2 linked regions of the Styela clava genome follow. The protein of the gene in region 1 binds, or shares a complex with, the protein of each later gene. Links are inferred from orthologs where the notes say so. Each region holds a gene or a part of one and is shown in the gene's direction. Other genes may lie near its edges.

Region 1 (6,912 bases):
AACATTGTCCCGATTGCAAAGAAAGATTAAAAATATGAGCCGGAGATAACATGCAAATCCATGGCATTGCTCTGATAACTTTAATTGGGATTCCATCAAGCTCACATCTGGTGTTAGGTCTAAAAGCTCGAACGATAGCTTGTATTTCAATGGCTGTTACGGGTGATAAAAACATTAATACTTGAGGTGCTCGATTTACTCATGTAACTCATGAAGTTACCGTCAGTATCATTACAGAATTTCTCAGCCATTCGCTTTCCTATCGTAGAAAAATGTTTATTAAAATGATCAGCTATAGACACGGGATCACACGTTTCAATATTTCCTACAACAAATACTTTTGACAGTTTAAATTTGCATTGACCTAGCAGGGTATTCATCGTTTGCCACGACTTTTTCAGATCGCTTTTAGTTTTATTCAGAACCGATCTGTAGTAAAATTCTTCTGGGACAGTATCATTTTTTAATAGGTTTTCTTAATTTCCAAGTACTTAATCCTGGAACATTGCGATTTCTCGATAAGAGATAATTTGTAACGTTTCTGTTTGTTCTTATGAAGTTTGTTAATTCTTTATCAAACCACTTCTTGTTAGTTTTTTTAGTCGAAATCGGAGGAAAACAGCGATCAAAAACTGGCATAACATGACAAGAGAAGTTTTTGAAGGCATTGCTCGGGTCCGATTCTTCATACACCCCAGAGAGATCGATACATTCTAACGCCGTTTTAAAATTGGCCATATTGTTCGGACTAAATGATCGAGAAAAACTGTTTTCCTCGTGTTTAAATGTTTTTTGCTCTATCGGCATACACTGCATTACAGGTGAATGATCAGAGATGGCATCGGTTAGAATACCGCTGACAGGTTTTCGATCGTATATGTTTGTCCATATACGATCAAGAATTGTTGCGCTATTTTCAGTTATTCTGGTCGGTTTGGCAACAGTGGGATAAAAGGAATATTGGTTCATTAGCTCAGTCAGTTCGTTGACAAAATGGTGCGATGTGTCCATCAGATCATAATTAAGATCACTCATTAGTATACTTTGTCTTGAAAGTGAGGGCGAAACAATGTTGAGGTGGCTAAAAAATTTCTTATTTCTGGAGTTATCGGACAGCGGCGATTGGTAAATAGTACCGCAAGTTACAATTCGGTCTTTAAGATTAATGTCAATGAATAACGATTCAAACGTTTTCTCCTCCATCATGGACAATTCCGGTCTGGTTTTAAAGGTAATACCATCTCTAATATACAAGCCCACACCACCACCCGGTTGCTTCTTGCATTTGAAACGAATCTGTAATCTCGTAAATTTATATGAGCGCCAACTTGGTCAGGTTTAGGCCAAGTTTCATTAACCGAAATTATATCGGGTCGACTTGTGATTGAATCTAACAAAACTTCCAGTTTAGCAAAATTTTTTGGGTTAGTGAGCGAACGCATACGTACTTGCGCACATTTCGCTTTGAGCTTGGGCGAATCTCTTCAATATCGTTTGCACTTATATATTGACTTTTTTTTCAATTAAGCACGTGCGACTACTTCAATTAATTTGATTAATTAACTAATTCATTAGCTTTTCCGAAGTTATTGCCGAAATTATTTAAGTGTAACGTGCACTGTGTATAACGCGCTGCACACTTAAATGCTGAAATGCAGTAAATGGTTATATCACATTTTGATTGAAAATTGGTGTAACTTTTACTTTATATTTATGGAATAGTCCTATGGAATTATAGGCTAGTATTGTAAATCAGTAATTGGAGCAGTGGGAACATTTTGGTCAGGTTCGTCTATTCTTAAACGTCGGGCTATCCTACCCAAATCGACTAAGATAGTCACTTTGATCCTACCGTCCTAATTATTAAACCAGTTACCGGTACTGTAGAATAGGATAGGATTTACATATTTATCCCGGGCGAGAGGAAAGCCGATAAGCAGCTTATCCATATGGCGAACCACCCATATCAGCATATGGCCTCTCGTCAGGTTGGTCAGGTTACCATTTCAAGTCTGGTACCGGTACCGTATGGGATTAGTTATATTGTTTGTTTTCGGAGGCATGGACTTGGTGGTGGAGGAAGACGTAACCGACCAGCGGTTACGTGAACCACCCAATGACGGCGAGGAGTCCAGCAATCCTCTCGCACATAACCATCCCTGCATGGGATTCGAACCTGCGAACCCACGCAGAGTAGAATACCGGTACGGTAACTGCTGAAATCTTATTATCCTGTTATCGGAATTACTGAAACATTAGCAAATTCAGATATGGCTTAACTCATCCACCTGAGCTGTCTGGCTGCGGACTCTATTTCCTAAATGTGACTAAATCTTGGACAGAAATACCGGTACTGGAAATAACAATAAGACGGTTCCTTTTATTACAGAATTACCGGAACGGGGTGGAAAATCTACATGGACCTTTAGATGTCTTGCAAATGCCATTTCATATACCTCCATGTAATTTTTGTATTCAATCGGCAAACTTGGGGGGGGGGGCAGTGGTAAAAATAATTTTCCCCAATTACCGGAACGTACCGGTACTCTAAATTGCAGGAACGGAGTGGAAAACCCACATAAACCTACTGGAACGGACCTTTAGATGCTTTGCAAATGCCATTTCATATACTTCCATGCAATTTTTATAATGAATCGGCAAACTTGGGGGGGGGGGCAGTGGTAAAAATAATTTTCTGTAATTACCGGAACGGAGTGGAAAACCTACCGGAACGGACCTTTAGAGGTCTTGCAAATGTCATTTCATATACTTCCTTGCAATTTTTATATTAAATCGGCAACCTTGGGGGGGACAGTGGTAATGACATTATCATTTTTGTATCGTTCGCGGGCCACAATAGTGCCAAGAATAGGTAATTAGTGCAATACTAAACAAACACTTTATTGTCCAAACACATTGATCATTATTTGTCATTTATCAAGCTAACATATGCTAAAACTACCAAATAAAGCTAAATATAACTTGCAAAAATCTTACTGTAAATACATTTAGTGCAGTAGTGTAAGATTTCAAATTCCTCATCTTGGAAAAAGTGCCATAAGGAAAAAATACTGTTTTAGATTGTCACTGATACAACTTGCAGACATATTATTAGGCAAGCATTGTGATATTTTATCTGCCATATCCAGTCAAAAATCTGTTAGTCAACTTTCTTTTCAAACTCATGTTTAAAAATTACCTTATAAATGACTGAGATTAATTGATTACCGAATTTCACCAAATTTGAGATACAGGAGGATAATTACTATATTTTCTGACATATTGGCAGCATTTTTTGTAACACTGTTTAGGCTGGTTGCAAAAAGAAACACCCGGCGGGAATTATATTGTTCGGCCATTACATTAATATTTAGTTATCAGGCATACCCAACCTATAGGCTGATAGATTTCCATTGGATTTTTAGTTTACTATGAAGAATATTCTGTTAGCATAATATTCCCGACCAAAAAGATAGAAAGCCAGCTAACAATTTAGACTAGCAAAGCACATTATTCCTTCGCTAGTTGCCTCAGCTAACCATGACACTAGTCAATTCATTGACATTAGTGATGTAACAATATGTCAAAAGATTTTTCTAGTTATTTTTATGAAGAAACAATGCCAAATGCGATTTTTGTTCACTCTTGCGCAAATGCGATGCGGGCCACAGATAGTGAAGCGGCGGGCCAGGGTTTGGACCTCCCTGGACTAGAGTCTAGCATAAATTCATACAGTAATATCAGAATACGCGCAAATCTACCAGATTAATGTCCCTCAATGTCTGTTTGTTTGATTTGAGTGTTGTCATATTTGGTGGTGTCTGGGGTGGGAATTTAATATAAAATTTACGCATAATGTACATATCTAGTCTATCAAATCTGCAAATGTATCTATATCTTTATTTGCACATAGACTAGCTTCAGAGCTCAGTAGTGTATAAATTTTCAGTTCAAAACATGAGTAAAGCTAGACATCTGGAAGAAGGTGAAATAATAGAGGAGAAAAATGAAAAGAATAAAGGAGAACCTCCAGAGAAGAAGAGCAAAATTGACAAAGAATCCATGATTTCTACAAAAACTGGAGGAGCATATATTCCTCCGGCTCGTTTACGAATGATGCAACAGCAGATTACTGATAAGAGCAGGTTTGAAACAGTAAAATATTATGACCATATTATTCGAATTGATGCTATGGTTAGCACTTGTGGCATTTCAAGTTCGAATTCCAGCCACTGAATTGCCCAGAAATATATGGTGATTAATTGGTATGAGTACTTTAACATTTATGTAAGCTTCGGACTTCAAACAGGCACTTCTATCCCAATTCCCAACTATTTATATTCTATTGGTATGCTCTTCTGCCTATAAAATTTTTGTTTTTGATATACCTGTGTGATGTACTAACGGTGAAATATATCTTATATACCCATGCCCACTCCCACACCATGTTGAGAGCACCTTATCTTCATTTTTGGCGTGCTGAGTGGAAGTTCAAATATTTTCAAAATTTTGTTATTTTCTCTTACACAATGCTGAAAGTGTTACACAGCGTTCCAATATGCCAGGGTGATCCAAACCCAGGCTTCGTTATCTATGGCCCGCGCTGCCATTGCGGGAGGGTAAACAAAAAATCTAACAAAACAAAATTTGGTGTTGTTTCGTCATAAAAATAACCATAAAATAATTCCTGTTGGGTGGTTTTCCGCAATCAGCCTAATTAGTATTACAAAAAATGCTGCCTATATGTCAGAAAATTTAGTAATTACCCTCCTGTATCTCAAATTTGGTAAAATTCGGTATTCAATCAATCTGCAGTTATTTATAAGTTGAACTCTTTTGGCCCGCGAACACATCAAATATAATAGTGTGCCCTGCGAGGCCACCAACCTTGGACCACCCTGCTATATGCGCTTTGAAGCATTTATTATTAAATTAATGGAATTTCTCTGTTGACAGCAAAATGATGACTTAATAATAATACTGAATTTTTCAATATTTTGTAGCGAGCAATATCAGAGAATAAGTTGGGAAGCTCTGAAGAAGAGTATCAACGGTTTGATCAATAAAGTGAACACGTCAAATATATCAAGCATTGTCAGAGAGTTATTTCAAGAAAATATAGTTCGTGGAAGGTAAAATGTGCCACTGTGTGTCGGGTTCTTTATTTAGATAAACTGTTATATCTAATGCCAATAGTCCAATACTATGAAATTTTAGATGCATCTATATTATTGTCAATATATTCGTCATGTTATGATATTGCTCATTATGTCTTTTTGATCACAATTGCAAATTTTTAAAAGCATTTCCAAATAATGTGGTCAAGATTGTTGTCGAATTAAAAACTTTTAACATGTTTTTCAGGGGAGTGTTGGCCCAATCTATATTGCAAGCTCAAAATGCTTCTCCAACCTTTACAAAAGTATATGCTGCTCTCGTTGCAATCATCAACACTCGTTTTCCACAAAATGGAGAGTTAATATTAAGAAGACTTGCCTTGCAATTCCGTCGGTCTTATAAAAGAAATAGAAAGGTAGCTAGCCGAAGTCCGTAAATTTATCTCCTGTGAAGATAGTGTTGAATAAACTTTTTTTTTACAATTAATTTACAATAGGCCTAAATAATATTAATTTTGTGTTAGTCAAGTTGTCACAGCTGACTCGTAATATTCGAGTCTTCCTAATAAATTACTATAGTGAGAGACACTATAGTGAGGTTTTTATAAAGCAAAAAGGGACAATAATAATATTTTGAAAAATTGCCATCATTTTAAATCAATGCTTAATGTAAATGTCGGGGTTTGTGAATGCCATGAAAGGTCATGATTAGTTTTGAATCAAATTTATTTTACTGTGAGTGGCTGATCAGATCATTTTATTACTTTACCAACTGAGATTCTAAATTGAAGAGATTGATATTTTTTCTTACCTGACTTCATGTCATTATTTTTTAGGAAGTATGCCTCCACTCTGCACAATTCATTGCCCATTTGATGAACCAGCAAGTTGCACATGAGATTATTGGACTTCAAATTTTAACTCTATTGCTTGAAAACCCGACAGATGATTCTGTGGAGGTATGTGATTGTGGTTTGGTTAATTCGTGAATGTATGATAAATAAATAAAATGGCATGTTTTAAACTCGTTTATCTCAAACTAAAGTATTTTTAGTGAAAATCTTTCTCTTGAATTTTCTCAGGTTGCAATTGGATTCTTAAAAGAGTGTGGCCAAAAATTATTAGAGGTATCACCCCGTGGTCTTGCAGCAGTCATGGAACGTTTACGTACAATATTACATGAACAAGAGCTTGACAAGAGAGTGCAATACATGATTGAAGTAACTAATTATAATTTACTGTCATAAGTTCATTGATTGCAGATATTTCTCAAATCTCATTTACATCTGATACATTTATTTATTTTTCTAATATTGAAGACTATATTATGAAGTAGCAAATCGCATCAAACAGACTTATACGTTTTGATCTGATATAGGATAGAAATCAAAAGATATTGTCAAAGCAACATTATATGTTTTCAAATTCAATCCTAAATCATGCTAATCCATGCTAAAATTTACGGTGCAAAAAATTCTTACATTTCAATTTTCTACTTCCACTCTGCTACTCTTATTTGTCAATCATTTTATGTCATCTAATTTAATTTTCACATTTGTTTCGGAGATCTTGAGTCAAGAATAAATTTGTTCAAGCCAGTGACAGCCAATATATCACGAGTTCTCGGTCATAACTGATATGAGTATCAATGTAGAGAATTCAAATTCAAAATGAATTGAAAAATCCAGGGCACTGAATTTTAAATTGATATTACCTTTTCTTTTTAATCAGGTGATGTTTGCTATTCGAAAAGATGGATTCAAGGAACATATTTCTGTTGAAGAAGATCTTGATC
Region 2 (7,579 bases), on another chromosome or scaffold:
ATACTAAGCAAGTTCTGATATATATAGGGTGTCCATAATGTCCTAATAATTTTAAAAATTGCAAAAGAAATTTATCGATACCATATATTGTTTTGGCCCTCACAGATGTATTAAAGGAAGTAAATATACTTAAACAATTACTGATCAAAAAACTTGGTTAAAATATATTGAGAACTGACTTCAAAACAAAATTGAAATTGTAAGAGAACTTTATGAACACCCTGTATAATATTATATATACTATGCAATTCAAAAGTCCCGCTGCACACTAACACAAATGTATTTCTGTAAGTTTCTTCTGACAAAAATCAGACTTCACCAGGTCACAACGTAATTTAGGCTATTTTCTAAGGTTGAGACGGTAGTTCTTAAACCTTTTTTCTTTCTAACCGGTTCTCCCACGCATTTTGTAGAATTGACAACGTATTTTAGGCTATTTTCTAAAGTTGAGACGGTAGTTCTTAAACCTTTTTCTTTTCTAACCGGTTCTCCCACGCATTTTGTAGAATTGACAACGTATTTTAGGCTATTTTCTAAGGTTGAAACGGTAGTTCTTAAACCTTTTTCTTTTCTAACCGGTTCTCCCACACATTTTGTAGAATTGACAACGTATTTTAGGCTATTTTCTAAGGTTGAAACGGTAGTTCTTAAACCTTTTTCTTTTCTAACCGGTTCTCCCACGCATTTTGTAGAATTGACAACGTATTTTAGGCTATTTTCTAAGGTTGAAACGGTAGTTCTCAAACCTTTTTCTTTTCTAACCGGTTCTCCCACACATTTTGTAGAATTGACAACGTATTTTAGGCTATTTTCTAAGGTTGAGACGGTAGTTCTTAATACTAACTAACCGGTTCTCCAACACATTTTGTAGAATTGCTGTGGAAATAGTTTTCATAAATTGTAATTAACACGAACATTGCATTATTTTCTGATTGCGATAGGTTACTACATAAGTGTGTACACATAACTGTGATATATATCTTTGATTGTTATGTTCATTTTTTCAGGTACTTCCGTAGTGTGTGTACCAGATTAGGCCATAATTTTATTCCAATTTTTCATATTTCAGTTTTATTACGAGTTCGGGGACTGTCTGTGTTAGCCTCCTCCCATAGGTTTTAGTCCCTCTACACAAATTGATGTAAAGTAGGCAAACAAAATTAGTTACCTCTATATTAGTACACACACTTTTGGAGCGCCTTCAACCTTAACTTGACAATTCAGCGTTCTCGCACCCATTAGCGGTGCTTGCACACCCCGATCAAATAATGTATGCGTTTAAAATAGATAATATATATATGTAGTTTATTCAAATTTAGAAATAGTTTAGTGAAATATGCCGTCACCAAAAATCTAAATGTACAGGCTAAAAAGCGAGAAGAAGAATCAAGATTAAAGAAAATGAACAAAGTGAACGCGAATAAATTAAGAGAACTCGAAATAAAAGAACAAAGAAAACTAAAAGCGGAATCTTCAAAAATGAAATCATCTTTGAGAAAGGAGCCAAACCATTCAAGAAATGTAAGCTCTGCTGAGATTGTTTGAATAATGAAGTCTATAATGTTACTATCACTCTCTAGATGACTCATGTGTGGTTAGTTGAATTAACAATTCAAAAAGGTTTTCATAAAGTTTAACTTTTATCGTCATATAAAAAACACTTTCACAAGCATTCGACAAATGTTAAGATTTCGCGAAAATAATAGTCTTTTTTATAGCTCTTCCATTTCCAAACAGTGCGTACTTGTGAAAATAAAATTCCGAATGTCATAAGTGTTTAATTTAAACAAAGTCAGTAAAAACCGTTTACGATTGAAAATAGGAATATGTGGAAGGAAACAAAAAGTCGCCATTTTTATAAATAAGAAACTGATTCCGTAAAACCGGTATAATATAGGATAGGATTTGCATAATTAATTATCCTGGGGAAAAGAAAAGCCGATAAAACGGTTTAATCATATGGCGAACCACGGGCTCTCGTCCGATTACCAGTCCATGTCGGGTTTTGGATTAGTTAGTCATTTTTTTAGGTGCATGGACTTGATGGTGATGGAAGCCATAACCGACCAGCGGTTAAGTAAACCACCCTGAAACGGCGAGGAGTACAGCAATCCTCTTGCACATAACTATCCCCACGTAGGATTCGAACCTGCCAACCCACGCAGGGTAATCAAAGGTGCGTGGCGATTGTATTCCTAACGCTTAGCACGGTGCGCCACATTGTTGCTTTGTATGTTTTCAGGTCATTCAAATTCGACTACGAAAACCTACCGGAGAAGGATTTTTAAGCAGAAAATTTGCTAGGTCGGATAAACTGCAAGATTTATTGAATTTCATCATTTCCGAAGGATTTTCGTTGAAGAATTACAGAATTATATCAGTGTGCCCGCGGCGCGAGGTGACATTTAAAGCTTAGAATGAGTAGTATTATGAAACTTTTCGATATTAGTAAATATCGAAACATGCCGATACTCTTATCAATAATAATGGTGTTAGTATTGTTTTGTTGGGAAATTATACAAGTAAACGTTAGGACTAGAGATAATTAAATCAGCTCTAAACTCTCTGTCTAGTCTATATATACTAACCAAACATTAAAAAAAAACGTTTTTTTTTTAATTACCGGACTATCAGTTTTCATGCGTAGAATTTGGGGCTGAAATAGGTTTTTAGCGTAATCCCCCAAAATAGAACGTTAGCATTTAATTCTATAAAGATATGAATGAAATTTTACGGCCTAATAGTTGACGAGTGAAAAAATGAAATGACCATACAAAAATGGACCCGAAATGAGCTATTATTGGCGAAAATTCGTGACATGGGTTGCTCAAGTAATTAACGTTGATTGAACTGAATGTGACTGACAAGTGATGCCAATTTTTGTTACTGTGTACATATTTAGCAATGATGCTACAGCGAGGCGTGAGACTCTGACTCTGGATTGACTCCAGTTAATCCAATATAAACCACCTTCGTCCATTTTCTTAAAATGATGCTTTAAATAAGGGGAATACCATTGTATTATGCAAAAAAGATTAGTCAATTTGAGACATCGTTTAGTGGAGCGAATTCAGTCAAATAGCTCATCATTCGTTTACGCTACACAACCGTCAACAAGATCACGCAAACAGCTGAACAACGCAGGCAGAGCGGAAGTTTTGCATTGATTCTTGCATGATAAAAATAAAATATTTGTCTGAGTGAGTTTCCCCCACAAGGCAATTATCGCGCGCTAGCAATAAAAAGTAGAACATGATCTATTGCTCGAAAAAAAATTCACTCAAAATATTGGATAAATTCTCGAAACAATGAAGTCTAAAATGGGTGCGGGTTTTCAATAAACAATGGGAGTTCTAAAAATATATTGCATCGCAATAAATATATTGTGGCTGTGTGCGGCCGGCCTTTAGATAACTTAATATCTCCCCACTACGGGCAAAAGTTTCTATTAATATTTTTATATTGGTAATATTTCCAATTTAGTTCATCGAATTTATGAACACGTATGATTTGATATAAAAACGATATTGATTTGTCCTATTATTTTTAGCTTTCATGTTTAAACCCAAAACGACCATTGAACTCGTATGGACTTGCAAGACAAGAAACTCTGATCATCGAGATGAAGTGAACATTCATTAAAACTGTCTGTAACTTCAATAAATATGTTTTACTTTTGTTTGTTTGTTCGATCTTCCTAAATGATGTTTATGAATGAGGGTAGGGATCTATACGCTTATCCAATATTGATACTAATCTTTATGAAGATTGAAAAAAACGACCCATTTCTTTAAGCATTCCTGAATTCTTCATCACATCCTCTTCCCCACCCGATCTTCTCAGTGGGTAGCTCCTGACTTTCCACTTTTAATACCATTTTCTAACGAATTGTTAAATGTCAAACCCCAACTTATCTCCATATGTCCAATGCCACCCACTAGCTCTGTATGATCTCCCACGTCCACTAACCGTACCTGACCTCCCACTGTCTAAACTCTAAACCCAACCCCTTACCTATCTGAACTCCCATGTCTAGGCCTACCCACTAACTATATTCGGCCCAATATGTCATTCACTGCGATGAGTTTTGCAGCGTATTGCTCTGCTGTAGTTCAGAGTAAACCATTATATCGATCTAGCCGCCGTTTCCATAAATATAGAAATTGGCGATGAAATATTGACGCACCTTCTCATCCCGGAAAGCCGGCTCCATTCGCTAACATGCATCAATGAATCACGTCTTCTGTTGGGATTGTTGGACCAAATCACGAATTACTATAGATTGAATGTAATCAAAACGAAGTATCTAATCTATTGCAATAGGGTAAAGGAAGTCTTCCCTGTCAAAAAATACTGACTTCGCTGAAAGGCGATCGCGAAGCCGTCACACGGCACGCAATCTGTTTTTAATGACGTCACCACAAAAAACTTACATAAATTTTTGAAATAGATATATGCATTATCCTTTTAGAGACAATAACACTGAAACCACTGAAATTACAATCATTAAATTTTTTTTTATTCAAGCCAACCAGTTACAAACTTTTGAAATTTCATATCCGTTAGTCGGGGCTAAAGATCAAGGTTGCTGGTTTTCGTCAACTGTGTTAAAAAGCGTGAGGTACTATCACGATAAATCAACAGTTTTCGGGTTGATTTCTCGTTTTTCCCGCAGTTTTATAAGATATGGCGAATCGCACAGTGAAAGATGCGGTTACTGTGAAAGGAACAAATCCGCAGTATTTGGTGGAAAAGATTATAAGATCGCGTATTTATGACAGCAAGTATTGGAAAGAAGAATGCTTTGCTCTTACAGGTAAATTAATACCAGAACGATTTCCTGGTCTGGGAGTTCATTTATGGTTGATTGATACCGGTACCGTACTGTATCATTTAATACAGTAATATTGTAATCTGTGGGTTTGAAACAGGGTTATTTGTAAATTTGAGCAGTTCTCAAATTCCCCTCATGCTGACATTAATAAAGAACCTCAATTATAACAGTGATTGCAAACCACACCTTTACGAGGTAATTTGGGCCTTTACGGTATATCAGCACAAACTAGCACAGTGCAATAAACTAAACCTGTAAAACGAATCAGAAAACGACACCATTAGATTCTTCGGAAAAAATAATTCTATTTATAGAAGGCTGGATAGGAAAATTTTAGGTAGCATTCAAGAGTTTATATGTCTGGATGAGCTATTACAATGAAAAGTCACAAATAATTACAGCGTTTAAGTATCAAACTTTAATCGATTCTACTGGAAAAAATGTATGACTCTATTCTTTAATCATCAGATATTTATAAAGGCCCATCCCCAGCATGAATGTTTGTTCAAAATCATATGAACATGCTTAAATTTATCCCTACGCAGCCTTCCAATTTTCATTATCATGCGTTGTCTCCTTATTTGTCCCAACTTGGTTTGTTGGAATATTGTTTGGTCTATATCACTTATGGTATATATTACAATTGTTGTTTGGCAGTTAACAGTCATTACTTATCGATCTTAAGATCGGTAAGTATATTGATAGGTATTTGTCTGTATGTATGTCTGTCTGTGTGTCTGTTAGATGCACGCGATATCTCACGAAAGCGAGGTTGAATCTGCTCCAGATTTTGCATGTGCATTCATCTTATCTCGGACCAGAAGCCTATTGATTTTGGGCGAATTATGTCGTATAATTAGCGAGTTATCAATCAATTATTGATATAGTGATCTAGATTTTTTAAAGCGAGAGAATTTCGAAACCCGCCGAGTGTGTGTGTGCGATGCGCAGTGCGCAAGTTACAAGAGCGGATGAATCGAAACTGCAGTTTCTGTTTTGGGGGATCCCCTAACTATCGATCGATAAGTCTTCGGTTTTCAACCGATATTCTCGTTGTATATTCAGGGTTGCATTTCGTGCAATCGTGTTTAACATATTGCAGGTCTTATACATCCCGATGTCTGAATTTCTTTTACATTCATATCTAGTCTACTAATTTTTTATTGATTGTGATGAATAATCACATTTTTATTTTTAGCCGAGCTGCTTGTAGACAAGGCAATGGAACTTAAGTACATTGGTGGAGTTTATGGAGGAAATATCAAACCAACACCTTTCTTATGTTTGATTTTGAAAATGCTTCAGATTCAACCAGACAAAGATATTATTGTGGAATTTATAAAGACAGAGGATTTCAAGTAAGTCCAAATGAAAGCCATGCTCAGTTGTAGGAAAATTTTAAGAACAGTTTCTTTTTTTATCGATTGGGTTTCTACAAGACCAACTACTTTTCCGTTTTCTATGCTTTTGCGTCGGTGGATCCGTATGCATATAATGCAAGGATGCTGTAGCAAGAGTGAAGATAACTATCCTGAGTAATTCAATAAATAGTCTTGCTGCACACTAACACAAATATATTTTTGTAACGTTTCGTCTGACCACGGTCAAACTTCCTCAGACTTCCTCGGAGTTGAAATATGTATGTCTGAGGAAGTTTGACCGTGGTCAGACGAAACGTTACAGAAATATATTTGTGTTAGTGTGCAGCAAGACTCTTGAATCACTTAGGATCAGTGTTCACTATTAGCGCACTTTTTTGCGAAAATTGCGAAGCACTTTCGCAACTTTTTTTAGGGACTGCGAAATAGCACTTTTTTCCGATTTTGAAGAGAAATAGCACTTTTTTCCGATTTTGAAAGGGAATAAAAATTCAAAGTTAACAAATATTTTCGAGTATTAAGTTGACAAATAAGTAACATACTGGTACTTTTGTAACTCAATTCTGCATATCATAACGATATTTACCGGAATTCTAACCTATGAGATGCAGACATAGGAGATAAAGCTTTTGCATTAACGGCAAAATTCTTGTTTATAATATGATTATTATACAAGCACACGGATTCCGCTTCTCCCGCAAAAAACGCTCCCGGGGCGTTTCTTTGAACGAGAGTGGTCATGTCATGTGACTATCAATGATATCGATGAATTCAAAATGACTATAAAAAGTGTTAGTAACTGTTTTAGTCACTTTGGATGAATTGTGACCAAACTGCACGATTTTCAAATCAGACGAAACTTTTAGCAGCATGTCACAGATTTGCAAAATCAACAAATTCACAAAATACCATTAAGTGCCATTTTATTGTAATTACAATGTTGAAAGGACGTGGCATTTTCCGGAATTTGGCGATAATTACACAACTATTTCTCATTGATATGCGAGGAGGGGTGGGCAAAATTCAATATTTTTTTAAATCGAATATTTTTAAGGAGTACCGAATAAACGTGGTGGAAACATTAAAAAATCGGCAACAAAGCCTTTTTACTGGTTAATTCCGTTGTAATCGCTAATTGTTCTTGTCACCCACCGATCGTTTTGGCGGCGATATCCAGGTTTTGTGCCTATCCTGAATGTTGATTTGAAATAGTGATTGAATAATTCGGCAATAAAAGCATTTCTGCGTGGTCATAAGGCGAGATGACGTTAATGAACAGCACTTCTTTTACAGGATATTTTACGTATGCGACTTAATGCTAAAAAGATTGGGCTCGAGTGCTTTTTTTTTCGAGTGCTCGAGTGCC

Evidence for each region. The genes of interacting proteins can lie anywhere in the genome.
Region 2: pre-mRNA-splicing factor CWC22 homolog (region 1) and pre-mRNA-splicing factor 38A-like share a complex: the UniProt entries of both Drosophila melanogaster proteins name them as parts of the spliceosome C complex. The link is inferred for Styela clava from reciprocal best matches to the Drosophila melanogaster genes ncm and Prp38.

Annotation. Positions count from the first base shown.
Region 1 is NC_135257.1:820,001-826,912, reverse strand, and holds the start of pre-mRNA-splicing factor CWC22 homolog, read left to right. Parts: upstream 1-3,896; 5' UTR 3,897-3,957; coding exon 3,958-4,145; intron 4,146-5,003; coding exon 5,004-5,132; intron 5,133-5,364; coding exon 5,365-5,533; intron 5,534-5,953; coding exon 5,954-6,076; intron 6,077-6,199; coding exon 6,200-6,337; intron 6,338-6,848; coding exon 6,849-6,912. UniProt on the Drosophila melanogaster protein: Required for pre-mRNA splicing and for exon-junction complex (EJC) assembly. Hinders eIF4AIII from non-specifically binding RNA and escorts it to the splicing machinery to promote EJC assembly on mature mRNAs.
Region 2 is NC_135260.1:5,477,947-5,485,525, forward strand, and holds the start of pre-mRNA-splicing factor 38A-like, read left to right. Parts: upstream 1-4,565; 5' UTR 4,566-4,686; coding exon 4,687-4,816; intron 4,817-6,032; coding exon 6,033-6,192; intron 6,193-7,579. Other genes in the region: FAS-associated factor 1-like, read left to right, coding at 1,366-1,521, 2,243-2,398, 3,551-3,631. UniProt on the Drosophila melanogaster protein: Required for pre-mRNA splicing.